Oryzias latipes: one gene and its partners. Each later gene encodes a partner of the first gene's protein in a complex. Links are inferred from orthologs where the notes say so. Each region holds a gene or a part of one and is shown on either strand. Other genes may lie near its edges.

Region 1 (4,377 bases):
AACCCAGTTGTTGTATTTTTCCTGCCTCCAGTGAAGAGCATCCCCTCTTTGGTTCTGCAGCTGTGTAGCACACTGTAAATGGACACACATGGGACATTTATGCCCTTGAGGGTCACTATGATTCCTCCAGAGACAGGGGACAGATCAAACTTGATGGCACTTCTTTTACCAGATCTTACAAAAGTGGCTTAAAGACAGACAACACTGGGTAATATAATAACTACTCCTTTCTGTATATTTTTATTTTTATGACATTATTTTTTTTAATGACATTTTTACTAATTTGAAAAATCAAAATTGAGGAAACTCTTATTTGTGAGTTTAAATATTTTACGATGTAAGTTAGTGAACTTTTAATAAGTTCTGGCTTGAGGTCTAATCTCTTATCTTTTAAACATGCAAAACTGGCATTTTATAGTATTGAATTTACCACATAATGTTGCATTAAATTTATTTTGAACAGAGTTAAATGTTTTATACCTTGAGGGTGTATTTTATTTGTTTGTTTGTTTTTAAAATAGGACAAAATTTTGACCAATTTTGTCTCATTTTGCAATGAATAAATTTAAAGTAAGCTTTTATGGTAACATTAATGAACAACTAAAAACTATGCTGGTATCAACTCTCAAGAAAATATTTAAACTGATGTGCATATATTTTTAAAAATCATGTTTTTACAACACATTTAGCTTTTTATTTAACCCGTTATTTACAAATAAATCATTAATGTTAACATACTAATCTTTACAATACATTCATGAAAAAGAAGGCAGCATACCGTAGGATCAAAATAATTAGAAAACCACATTGTGGACGTCATTAAAATGTTGACATTCACTTAATTTGAAAATCCAAATCACTGAATTAAATAATTTTTTAGAGATTGAGATTTTTAATTTCAACTATTTGTATAAAAGGTTTTTTTTTAACAATGTAAATATTTTCTTTCAACATATTTAATTACATTCATTTTCTAATTCTTTTTTAACATTGATCTATTCAGTTCTCTAAACAAAACCACAGTTTTAACTGTGGTGTAAACAACCACAATGATAGTTTGCAGTTGTGTAAGTCAATGGAGTGAAAAAAAATAAAACACTTCCAGTGAAGATACTCTAGTTTATTGACTTAATTTCTGGTTGAAGAATAGAAAAGTTAGGTATCTTATAAAAAACCCAATCAACCATGATTTGATTATTGAATTACCTAATTACATTGCCTTAAAATGAAATATATGTATTAAAAACCTCTATAATAAGATATAGGCTTTCCAAGTTTATAACATTTTTGTCCATTTCTTTTTTATTTAGTGTAAACAGTAAATCACTGTTTTCTCCCTCTTATGTGAAGCAAGTGGGGTCGTTTTCCCCCCTTTTTTAAATAAAACGGCTTAACAAAAAATAGGTCGCACGAATTTGTGGCTTTTGATAACAAAAAGCTTTTTTTGTTTTTTTCTTCAAATGGTTTGTGGTAAAAACTTAAGCTCCGCCCCCTGAGAAGCTAAAGCAACAGGAAGATAACCGAAAACGAGCGCAGGCTGGAAGGAAAGCGGCGGAGGCCGAAATCTTTTCCACATCAAAGTCGCTGTTCGGCCGTAAACTTCAGCCTGGACTCGACCTGCCACCTCTGACCCGTTCTGCTCCAGATAAACGTGGCAGATCAACGAGCATGCTCGAACTAAAGTGAGCTCTCTTGCCCTTAAAGAAAAAAAACGGCCGAGGTAAGCTTTTTTTATGTGTGACCTGTCGAATACACAAACCTGCGGAGGAGTATGGTTTTGCCGCGTTACGCTTTTATGTTGAACAGATGTGAAAAGTTAAAAGGCGGTGATGTGTCTCCTCCGCCGCTGACTATAGTCCCCCGCTTTTTCTTCCGCCACGTTCAGACCAATGATCAGACACGTGTGTGTGCGTGTGTGAGCTAGAAAAGTGCATGTGGACTGTTTCTGCTGCATTTTCTTGCTCTAAATTAACAAAGGACTGCCACAGAGGAGCACCACGTGTCTGCCCCGGCCTACTGATTTCACATGAACATCCGCCCACTGCTTTGGAGTCACCGGCCTGCTTCTCGCTTGATAAGGCGGGGAATGAATGAGACATGGAGGGCGAACGTCCGGCTTTGCCTATCTGATAATCGATACATTTTTCTGTGATCACGAGCTGCTGTCATGCGCAAACTGGTTCAAGAAGATCCCCTCAAACAACGGCTGTTGGGAGTTTCACCTAGTTTATACTCTGGACTCACTGTGTCTCTCCCAAAACACAGAAATGATTGTTTTAGTTAAAAATTTATAGATTTGTGAATTTTATTTCTTTTCTATTTATTGTATGTTGTTTGATTTATAAAAATAAGTTTTTACATAATTCCATGTACTCTAATCTGGAATAGTATATATATTCATTTCCAAAAAAATTACCAAAAAGCATTTTCCCATCATTTAGGATAAACCAAGTTAAAGAAAAATGCTCCACTGTGTTGGTGCTTTATGCAAAAGTCTCTCAAAAATGTGCTTTTAATGTGTATAAATTGATCTTTTTGCGGCTCTTTTGTCCTCTGGTTTCTATGCTGTAAACAAACAGCAGAGGCAGAAAAACTTGCTGCAGGAAAACGAAACACTAAACGCACAGGAGAAGCTCAGGAAAGTTTTGACACAAAGTGACACAAATGTCACATGTCACTCTGGGGAAGGGATCAATCCAGCCAGGCATCATTGTCAAACCATTCCTTATGTGCAGAGAGAGATTCCTGATTTAAAAACACTAAAGAGCCACTCCAATCATCATTTGATCTATTTTAAAAGCGTTCCCAGTGATCTTTTAATGTTGTGTAATTTTCTAGGACATAGTTTCTGCAGAGCAGATGGAGTTACGGTAATCAAAATTTTTCCTCTGAGTTGTGTTGAGCAAGCCTGCCCTGACTTCCCATCATCCCTTTGTCTGCATTCTGTCTTGCTAGCTTACAGTCCCTCACAACCGCAAGCAGCACAAATAAATGGTGATCATTATTGGAGTTACCCGGCCATATAGCTTTGAGCCAGATACTAGCTCAGACGAGGAAAACGAAGATGGATCTAGTCATCTGCGAGTGGATGTATCTGCATGGACAGAAACAGGGAGCTTGAGGCCCGCCGATTGTATTTTGTATACAAGTAAAAACTTTTTCTAACAGCAGTTTTTGGTCTGCTCCTGATTCACTATGATTTGAAAAAAGAAGAAGTAGTAAAGCAGTTTTAATTTCAATTTTCCTAATATATGTCCTCCAACATGAGAAGAAAATGCTACCAAAACATGTCAAACAACCAGAAACGCTGTTTTCTTTTGGAGTGGTTCTTTTAAAGACTTTTTCCCTCAGTAAATCCCTCAAAAGTGCTGCTCTGGAGTTTGAGGTGTCTGTATAAATGTGAGATGACCCCAGTCTCGTCTCCCAGTCTGAGCATGGCGCAGTGCACCGGTCTGCAGTACGAGCCGGTGGCAGAGATCGGTGGTGGCGCATACGGGACCGTCTACAAGGCTCGCGACATCGAGAGTGGCAAGTTCGTCGCCCTGAAGAACGTGCGCGTCCAGACTGACCAAAATGGCCTCCCGGTGTCCACGGTCAGAGAGGTGGCGCTGTTGAAGCGCCTAGAGCAGTTTGACCACCCCAATGTGGTCAGGTAGGAGAGTTATCACAGGTTTTGTCTCAAATGTTGCCCCCCCTCCACCTCATCAGTGCTTGCTACTTTCATCCAGGCTTATGGATGTGTGTGCCACCAAGAGATCCGACCAGGAAACCAAAGTCACTCTGGTGTTTGAGCATGTGGACCAAGACCTGAAAACGTATCTAGAGAGAGCTCCAGCTCCAGGGTTGTCACCAGAGCGCGTGAAAGTGAGTCCCTGAAGAAAAGAATAAAAACTGATGGCAGCTACTGTTTGGAACTGATTCTCTTTCTTTTTTTGTGTGAAATATTTCTCTGTCTTCAGGACTTGATGAAGCAGTTGCTGTCTGGCCTCTCCTTCCTCCACTCAAACCGCGTGATGCACAGAGACCTGAAACCCGAGAACATTCTGGTGACCAGCCAGGGCCAGGTCAAACTAGCAGACTTTGGCTTAGCGAGGATATACAGCTGCCACATGGCCCTCACTCCTGTGGTAAGATCTGCTGTGTGCTCACGTCTTGATCATCAGCAGCGGTTTGGTTAATGTTGTTTTTTTGAACAATCGCTTTGGAGATGATTATTTCATTTGTTTTTGCTGTCTGTTTTGGCTTCTTTTCTTGGAATAAATCATTTTCAGTTACGACACAACCCTGACCGTTTAACACCAGAATGGTGTCGCTGGCAACACCTAAATAACTTGCGTTTTTTACATACCATAACTATTTGATAACTCACACAATAAA
Region 2 (4,341 bases), on another chromosome or scaffold:
TTAGCAGGTTAACAAGGGTGGAAAACAAATAAAAGCATTCAAGGTTATCACAAAGTCATACGATGTGAAGTCAACTCTGAAAACCAAATAAAAGCGAGTGTGTATTTGGTACAGGAGAAACATTTAACTTAGGTTTGACAGCCTGGAAACATGTGCATGGTCTTTGTCCTTCAAAAAAAAAATGAGTGCCTCACAACTCTGGGGATCGAAACATTTACAAAATAAAAGCATCAGAACTCCAATTTTAAAATAAATATTAAAAAAAAAAAAAGGAAAATAAAAGGTACTTGCTGAAATTTTTAATTTCATCCTGTGCCATTTCCTGTGGATCTTTAAAAAAAAGAAAAAAGAAAAAGTGGCCTCAACACAAAAAAGGGAAGAAAAGAAAAACACGTTCATTAGGCAGATGAGCTACATTTGTACCATTCCTTGCTGTTGAGTTAGGAAGATGACGGCATAAAGGCACACTGTTGAGAAACTAAAACCATGATTTTCTTTCTTTTTTTTTAAATGTAGCATTTATGGACTGGGTCAACACCACAGTGCCTTTCAAAAATATTAATAATAATAATAAAATGCAAACAGAACAGCATTTTGGAAACATGTTTCAAACCGAACACTTCAAGTCAAATCAAAATTCACACCTCTTTTACACAAAGGATTAAAAAAAAAAAAAAATCAATGTTTTTATGTGCTACATAGAAAACATATATATTTATTTATTAAATTATTTACACACAGGTAGTTAAAAAAAGAAAAAAATCAAACCTAATTGCACGCTGCTACATGGACTGCTGTTAGAGGCAGTAACATTTCAATGAGTGCCACAAACTTTAGTGTTTCTCTTCAGTGCTTCAACAGCGTCCTCCCCCGTCCTCAGGAGAGCTGATATGTTTCTGATGCTGTGTAGATCCTCGTCCAAAAAAAGGAAAGAATAATTAAAAAAAAAAAAAAAAGATCAACGCAGTCTTAAAAACAAAAAAACAAAAAAAAACACATGCACGCATACGCAAACACACTCGTACAGAGAAAAAAAAACTGGGAGGGGCACATCTTGAGCTCTGTTGGAGATCAGAACAAAAGACAAAAACAAAGAGGTTGAAAGGTTAGTACTTTTTTTTCTTTTAGGAGATGCAACTACTACTGCTAAAGTATTGACAGTGTTCTGAGGTATGACTGAAAAAAAAGAAGAAACTAGTCATTTCCAAAAACAAAACAAAACTATCAACTCAAATAAAGCTCGGCTGCATACCATTTACAAAAACGTGCAATTTTTTCAGTTCTGTTAACTTTTATTTTTACTAAGAAGAGACGAAAATGAACATGGGATTTTTTTTTACTTAAAGATAAATCGAAGTCAAAGTTCCGCTAATTTAACCTTGACTTTTTTTGCCACAACCTTTAAAGGTTCACACCTGACAGCTTAGAGCAGGTTTCTGTGCTCCTTCTCTCTTGTGGGTCATAGTAGACCTGCAGAACTCTCGTACTCTCCTCTGCAGCAGGGAGTGTACATGTCTGCGTGTGTTTCTGCGCGCGCGCGCTCAGAGACCTGCCCCTTCCCGTCCGCGCGGAGGCCACTGGCTGCTGACGTGTTACTACTACACTGTTGTTCAGCTTGTTGTTTACAGTTCAGCAGACGAACATCGGCCGCAAGGAGGAAAAAACTTTTTTTTTTAAAAATTCTTTATTGGCGTGTCATATAAATCCTCTTGGTTTAATAAACAGACTTCACTTTTTTGCGCTAGAATGCGTCAATACAAATAAAAAAAAAAATGATGTAAAATTTAATATCTTTTTTTTTTTTTAAATTCGAGGTTAACAGTTTTTTTTAAATTGAAGTGGTTCGCTCACCGTGTCGCCGTGCTCACGTTGGTCTCTTGGGGCTGGTCTTTCTGGGTGTGTGTTCTGCAGACTGGCTCAGGCTCGGACAGCTAACCTCCTCCGGGCTGGTGTGAGACTTCTTACTTGGGGCCGAAGGGTCTGCAAAAATAAATAAATGAGTAAAATAAACTATATATTACAGAGAGAAAAAAATGGTCGGGGTGCTCAATGTTCTCTGGGATTTTACGGCAGTTTCCCCCGCTTTACGACCCCCTCATCCCGCATACCAGTACCGCGAGCACAAAGCTGCCGCCCGGCGATCTGTTACACAGCAACGGGTCGTTTGATGCTAATGTCATACCGTGACACGCAGGTCTCTTCCTCAGCCCGCCGCACTGCTCCGTGCACTCCATCTGAGCGTCAGAGCGGCTGGGAACTGTCCCGACACAGTCATGATTCCCGTTTAGATCCACATTGTTATTCCCGGGGCAAACGCCTCGTTCTCGCCGCGGCAGGCGGGTGTAGAAACTCGGCAGGTCTCTGGCGTTCACCAGCTCCCACTCCAGCCTGCTGTTGGGCAGCGGTGTGTCAGTCGCGAAGTCGAAGCCCCACTTGGCGGAGGCAGCCTCTTCAAACTCCCGCAAATGTACATTTAAATCCCTCTTTAACTCTTCGTGGTCCACCGAGCCGAAGAGGCTCCTGCAGGCTGACGGCTTCGGGTGTTCCGACACCCGGGGCTCCGTCCTCTCCAAAGTCGGGCTCCCGCTCGAAAGTCGAACGTTAGACATGGTTAAGCCCCCCGGAAAAAAGGTAAAAATTTCAAGCAGCCGGGAGCGTCCAGTTTTCAGGCGAAAAACACACCTCAAGAAGAAAAAAGAAAAGAAAAAAAAGGTATGTCCTCCTAGTCACGGGGAAAGATCCAAAACAGGCGTGAAACGACCATGCGCACGTCGAGCTGGAGGCAAACACGGCTGCGATTTCCTGAGCCGAAGACGGCTTACGCCAATCATCCAAACGACGGGAGAACGAACCAAAGCTCGCTGTCAACGTCGCTCCGTACAGCGGGAAGCGGAGGCGAACCTCTCGGTACCCAATATGGCGATTGAGACATGTAGTGGGGATTGAGAGGGGAGGTTGACTTTGGAGGGAGGGGGAGGAGGGTTACACATGATTGACATACGGAGCCATTTAAAACCCAAGAAGCGCACTCATTGGATGGAGCTCTTTAGACCCGCCCACTTTATTTAAGGTAGACCGAATAATTGCATAAGGCATGCTGTTCTAAACATATTACTTACCTTTTTTATTTTTTTTACAAAGTAAATAAGTTCACACATTTGATGTAACTTAATGTACAAGTTTCAAAAAGTAAAATGGATTAAACATTTTAAGACATCTAAATTTGAAGAAAAAAATTGGATTGCAACCATACAAATAGTGCCAATATGTTCTAAAACACACATATTCAGTATTTATTTTAAACATTTTGGATGTACAGTAAAATTAATAAATACAATTAAAATGGAGTAAAATCCAAAACAAAACTGAAATTGTTGCATCATATTCTTTCAATGGACACTAATAAATGAACCTGTGGTCCTAAATGGAGATAAAGTCCAGTAAGAGGACCCCAAACTGAGCTGATTTAGTAAAAGCCTAATAAACATTTTAATTCTAAAAAATTTTCTTACCGTAACAAAATCTGTACATATATCGGAATTATTGACTGAAAATATTTATATATGAAGTAATAACATATAAAGATGAAAATAAATTTCTGCTATCCTAAAGTCAACTGTTTTTTTCCAGATTTATCATAAAGCTTCTTAGTTTTTACTTTTTATTCACATGCAAAAAAAAATAAACACCCCTAAATGAGAATAGAGGGCAGCTTGATGCTTAAATTGAAAGTGGCGCAGTCGTCTTTAAATAGAACCAAAAGCCTTTTGACAGAAATGATGCAATCTAATTTAGCTGTGAGCAATTATTTACTCAAAGGGTCAGAGCAGGATAGGAGGTGCAGCAGTGTTCACTCAACCACTGTCAAGCCAACAGCGCCCCCTAGAGCTTCATCTAACACACAACTCTGGAAGCACAAATCTTTTAATACCTTTAAATACTAAAGTTGTCTGTACGATTACATTTTTAACAAAGGCCACATGGACTTACAGAGTCACCATTATGAGTCCGCTACAGTCTGCTTTAGTCGCCTACCTTGCCTGTAAGTCCTTTACGGCGTACAGGCACTGCGGTGGGCGGTGCAGCCTCAAAGACCGAGCCACTTGATGATGTAGTAGTTCCTCTTGCCCACTCTGAGCAGAGTGAGTCCGTTGGACAGGACGTGGAGTTTGGGGACGAGAACCTGCTCCGGTTTGTCCGCCCGTGTGTGGTTGATCCACACGGCTCCGTCTGAAACCATCTGGTACCTGCAAGCGAACACGACGGCTCAGTCAGGATCCAAATCCCATTCATTTCAAGTGTTTTCAACCAAACCCAAAGCAGCAGGATAGAAATCTTTGT
Region 3 (2,881 bases), about 25 Mb from region 1:
CAGTGAGCTGAACCTTTTTTTTCAATGTTTACATGAAATCCTCTCCACCTTTATCTACATTTCTCATGGTAGGGATAACACGTCAATGTAAGGGTGGGGTCATTTTGACCCAACAACATAGCACAAGGGGTTAATGCTCCAAAGAGATAAATTGCTACACACTGAACATTCATAATCCAGAGCCATTCACACGTCAGGACAGAGCAGCAGATGAATTTGACGAATAAGAGACAGGACATGAAGGGAAATGCAGGTTTGTGGTTCGTGATGGAAGCAGAGCGTCTCTAGACTTGGAGACGTTGAATCTCTTTTTCCCAATAGTTCATATAAAACTCTTCACTTCAGCATAAAAAAAGGGGGGACATTGTGATTTTAACACATGCTGTACATCTTCCTCCTCTCCTGTGGGTGGGAGCCGAGATGTGGAATGTACAGCGGCGAAAATGTCTGTCATCACTTTGGCAACCGCTTGATCCAAATGAGGATAAATCCACTGATTCCGTGGATTACCGTTAATCTTCTCTGCTCAAATGTCCCCTTCTTAGCCCAGGGAAAGGCACCGATCCCCCCCCACATACAGTAGCCTAATTAACTGAGCAGTGAAATGTAGCTGAACCCCTCCCGAGTTCACAGGTACGGACTCCTGCGGAGGGCGTGGCTTCTGAGTGGGGCGTGGCGTGTGCGCTCCTCCGTCACTCGCCCGATTTCCGCGGCATCCAGACCATTCGTCGTTTAGCTTGGTAGAAATCTGCAGGGATGAAAGCGACACTGAGCTCAGGGGGAATCGGTGCAACGACACAGACGCAGCTGAACGTTCCACTCCCATCATATTTTGAGAAAAGCCTTCCCTGTCGTCTTTTGATTACGATTATGCCTTTTTTAGCCAAAATGAAATAATCTTGTCGTCACCTCTGAGATGTGGGCGGGGCATTAGCTCAGAGTAACCCCGCCCCTACCTCCCATTATCCATCTATTTGTACCCTCTCTAGCTGGCTTACAGCCCCTCACATTACTCTTCTAGCTCAGACGAGGGACTAAAAAAGTTTTTTGGACCTATTTGTCTGTAAATGAATGCAGATACTCTCTTTTTCTAACATTTTTTATCTGCTTTGAACAATTAAATACTAAGCTTTTCTTTATAAATGTCCTCCATCGTCAATAAAGCGTCATAAGAACACGATTCAAAACAAATGAAAGCACCTGTGATGTTTGTCTGTTTCCTCTTCATCCCGGCCTTCTCCTCCTTCTCTGGTGTTTTCTCCACGTTGAAGATGTTCTCTGTCAGTGGGATGTTCTCCTTCTCCCTCTGCGGCAGCTCAGATCTTCGTCTCTTGGGGGGGGTCCTGGTCTCCGCCGTCTTCTGGACCCGTCCAGCATCCTGACAGCGGTACAGCAGCGGCACTCCGGCCCCCGGGACGCTCTCCCACAGGAAGTGGCTGCCCTCCAGGGGCTTGTCGGAGCGGAAGTCGAAGCCCCAGCGAAGGGACGCTTCGTCCAGGTCTTTCCGCAGGGCGGCCTGGTACTCCAGCTGAAGCTGCTCCCGGTCCACCGGGCCAAACAGGTTTCGCCTCGCGGGCCTCCTGGGAGCGGCGGGAATCCGCTTTGGAGCAGCCATGGTTCTGCACTGTTTGAACACAGAACACTCCTGGTTAGATCTCAGATGTCATATGATGATGAGATGGATCATGTAAAGCAGTAAAAGAGTCAAAGAAAAACCCAAAGTGTAAAAAGTTCCGAGCTCACCATGACTGTTCACTCTACAGACCATCAGAGAAAAGCAGAGCTGTGCCTCTCCTCTCCTCCCTCCCTCTTAGGAGAGGCTGAATCATCGGTACATGCCTGGACATAATCTGACAGGCCGACAACACAGAGCCGCCACTAGGGGGCAGAGTGGCAATGACAGATCCACCACCAGAGGTGTCCTTCCACCTCAGTCTGCATGACAGACCGCATCACCCTGAACAGGACATTTTCCTTTTTAGGAAAAAAGGAAGTCCATCCCAGGCCAGGCTGGTTATCCAGGAGGACAAAATAGTCCACAGTAAAGCTTGTTGTTTTTTTTTTAAAGAGAGCAGAAAATGAGGATAGACAGCAAACAAACCCCCAGCAGCTTGTTAGATATGATTTTATTATAATACATAAATTAAAAATGGTTGTTCCTGTTTTTTTTTTGTTTTAAAAAACACTTTAGAAAACAATTTATACCAAAAATATGAATATTTTCCTTTATCTGGTTTAAAACTATTTCCAGTTCTTTAGTGATAATGTTTAAATTAATATTTAGGTTTCTCCACATTATAATCCCGCTGTTCTTAAAGCTCAGACTGATGGATATTGACATTAAATATCTTATTTTTGAATGTTTTGATTCTTCCATTGAGGCTGGAACGGTGATCTAGCAGAGTAACCCAGACTTTTCATGACGTCATAGACCGACATAAAGCTTCTGTTGTCTCTTCGGGGCGGGGTCACTGGGGGCGCGGCCGACTCCCATCGGGGCGGGCGTTCAGGCCATGGCGGGAGAGTATGAATCCGGGTTTGGACCAGCCCCGTTCGGTTACTACGAGGCTCCACGTGAACCTGGAGCACGTGTCCCCCATTCAAACGGGGCTGTCACCGCCGTACTCACGCGGAGGACGCGCGCGCGCATCAAAACACCCTAGATAGGACTTCTGGAAAACTTTTTTTTGATTTAATAAGTTACCAGGAAACTTTTTTAATTCATATAACCAGAATGTTGGATCAACGACGCTGAAGTTAGCATCCGATTCACAGCTTCCGATTCGCGAGTGCACTAAAGGAGCATTCCACTGTTTTTTTTGCACTAAGATCTCCTTAGATGGGGTCCGGTTCAAAAACTGCTGGACCTAGACTGCTCAAA

What was found.
Region 2: the proteins of cdk4 (region 1) and cdkn1b are in contact, whole or in part, in a crystal structure (PDB 6P8F), measured with the Homo sapiens proteins. The link is inferred for Oryzias latipes from reciprocal best matches to the Homo sapiens genes CDK4 and CDKN1B. Residues at the interface, in NP_000066.1 of Homo sapiens: Gly18, Thr19, Val20, Tyr21, Lys22, Ala23, Arg24, Asp25, Pro26, His27, Ser28, His30, Val32, Leu34, Ser36, Met75, Asp76, Cys78, Ala79, Thr80, Ser81, Lys88, Thr90, Val92; in NP_004055.1 of Homo sapiens: Glu53, Ser56, Lys59, Trp60, Phe62, Phe64, Gln65, His67, Lys68, Pro69, Lys73, Tyr74, Glu75, Trp76, Gln77, Glu78, Val79.
Region 3: the proteins of cdk4 (region 1) and cyclin-dependent kinase inhibitor 1-like are in contact, whole or in part, in a crystal structure (PDB 6P8H), measured with the Homo sapiens proteins. The link is inferred for Oryzias latipes from reciprocal best matches to the Homo sapiens genes CDK4 and CDKN1A. Residues at the interface, in NP_000066.1 of Homo sapiens: Gly18, Thr19, Val20, Tyr21, Lys22, Ala23, Asp25, Val32, Leu34, Ser36, Met75, Asp76, Cys78, Ala79, Thr80, Lys88, Thr90, Val92; in NP_000380.1 of Homo sapiens: Met38, Cys41, Ile42, Ala45, Arg48, Trp49, Phe51, Phe53, Val54, Glu56, Asp62, Phe63, Ala64, Trp65, Glu66, Arg67.

Annotation. Positions count from the first base shown.
Region 1 is NC_019863.2:27,221,978-27,226,354, forward strand, and holds the start of cdk4 (cyclin-dependent kinase 4), read left to right. Parts: upstream 1-1,495; 5' UTR 1,496-1,720; intron 1,721-3,427; 5' UTR 3,428-3,434; coding exon 3,435-3,652; intron 3,653-3,728; coding exon 3,729-3,864; intron 3,865-3,959; coding exon 3,960-4,127; intron 4,128-4,377.
Region 2 is NC_019864.2:11,436,206-11,440,546, reverse strand, and holds the start of cdkn1b (cyclin-dependent kinase inhibitor 1B), read right to left. Parts: upstream 2,931-4,341; 5' UTR 2,610-2,930; coding exon 2,183-2,609; intron 1,981-2,182; coding exon 1,865-1,980; 3' UTR 1,852-1,864; intron 1,062-1,851; 3' UTR 1-1,061. Other genes in the region: yars2 (tyrosine--tRNA ligase, mitochondrial), read right to left, coding at 4,088-4,247. UniProt on the Homo sapiens protein: Important regulator of cell cycle progression. Inhibits the kinase activity of CDK2 bound to cyclin A, but has little inhibitory activity on CDK2 bound to SPDYA. Involved in G1 arrest. Potent inhibitor of cyclin E- and cyclin A-CDK2 complexes.
Region 3 is NC_019863.2:2,308,631-2,311,511, forward strand, and holds cyclin-dependent kinase inhibitor 1-like, read right to left. Parts: upstream 1,629-2,881; 5' UTR 1,625-1,628; coding exon of another isoform or gene 1,616-1,624; coding exon 1,201-1,615; intron 749-1,200; coding exon 693-748; 3' UTR 648-692; downstream 1-647. UniProt on the Homo sapiens protein: Plays an important role in controlling cell cycle progression and DNA damage-induced G2 arrest. Involved in p53/TP53 mediated inhibition of cellular proliferation in response to DNA damage.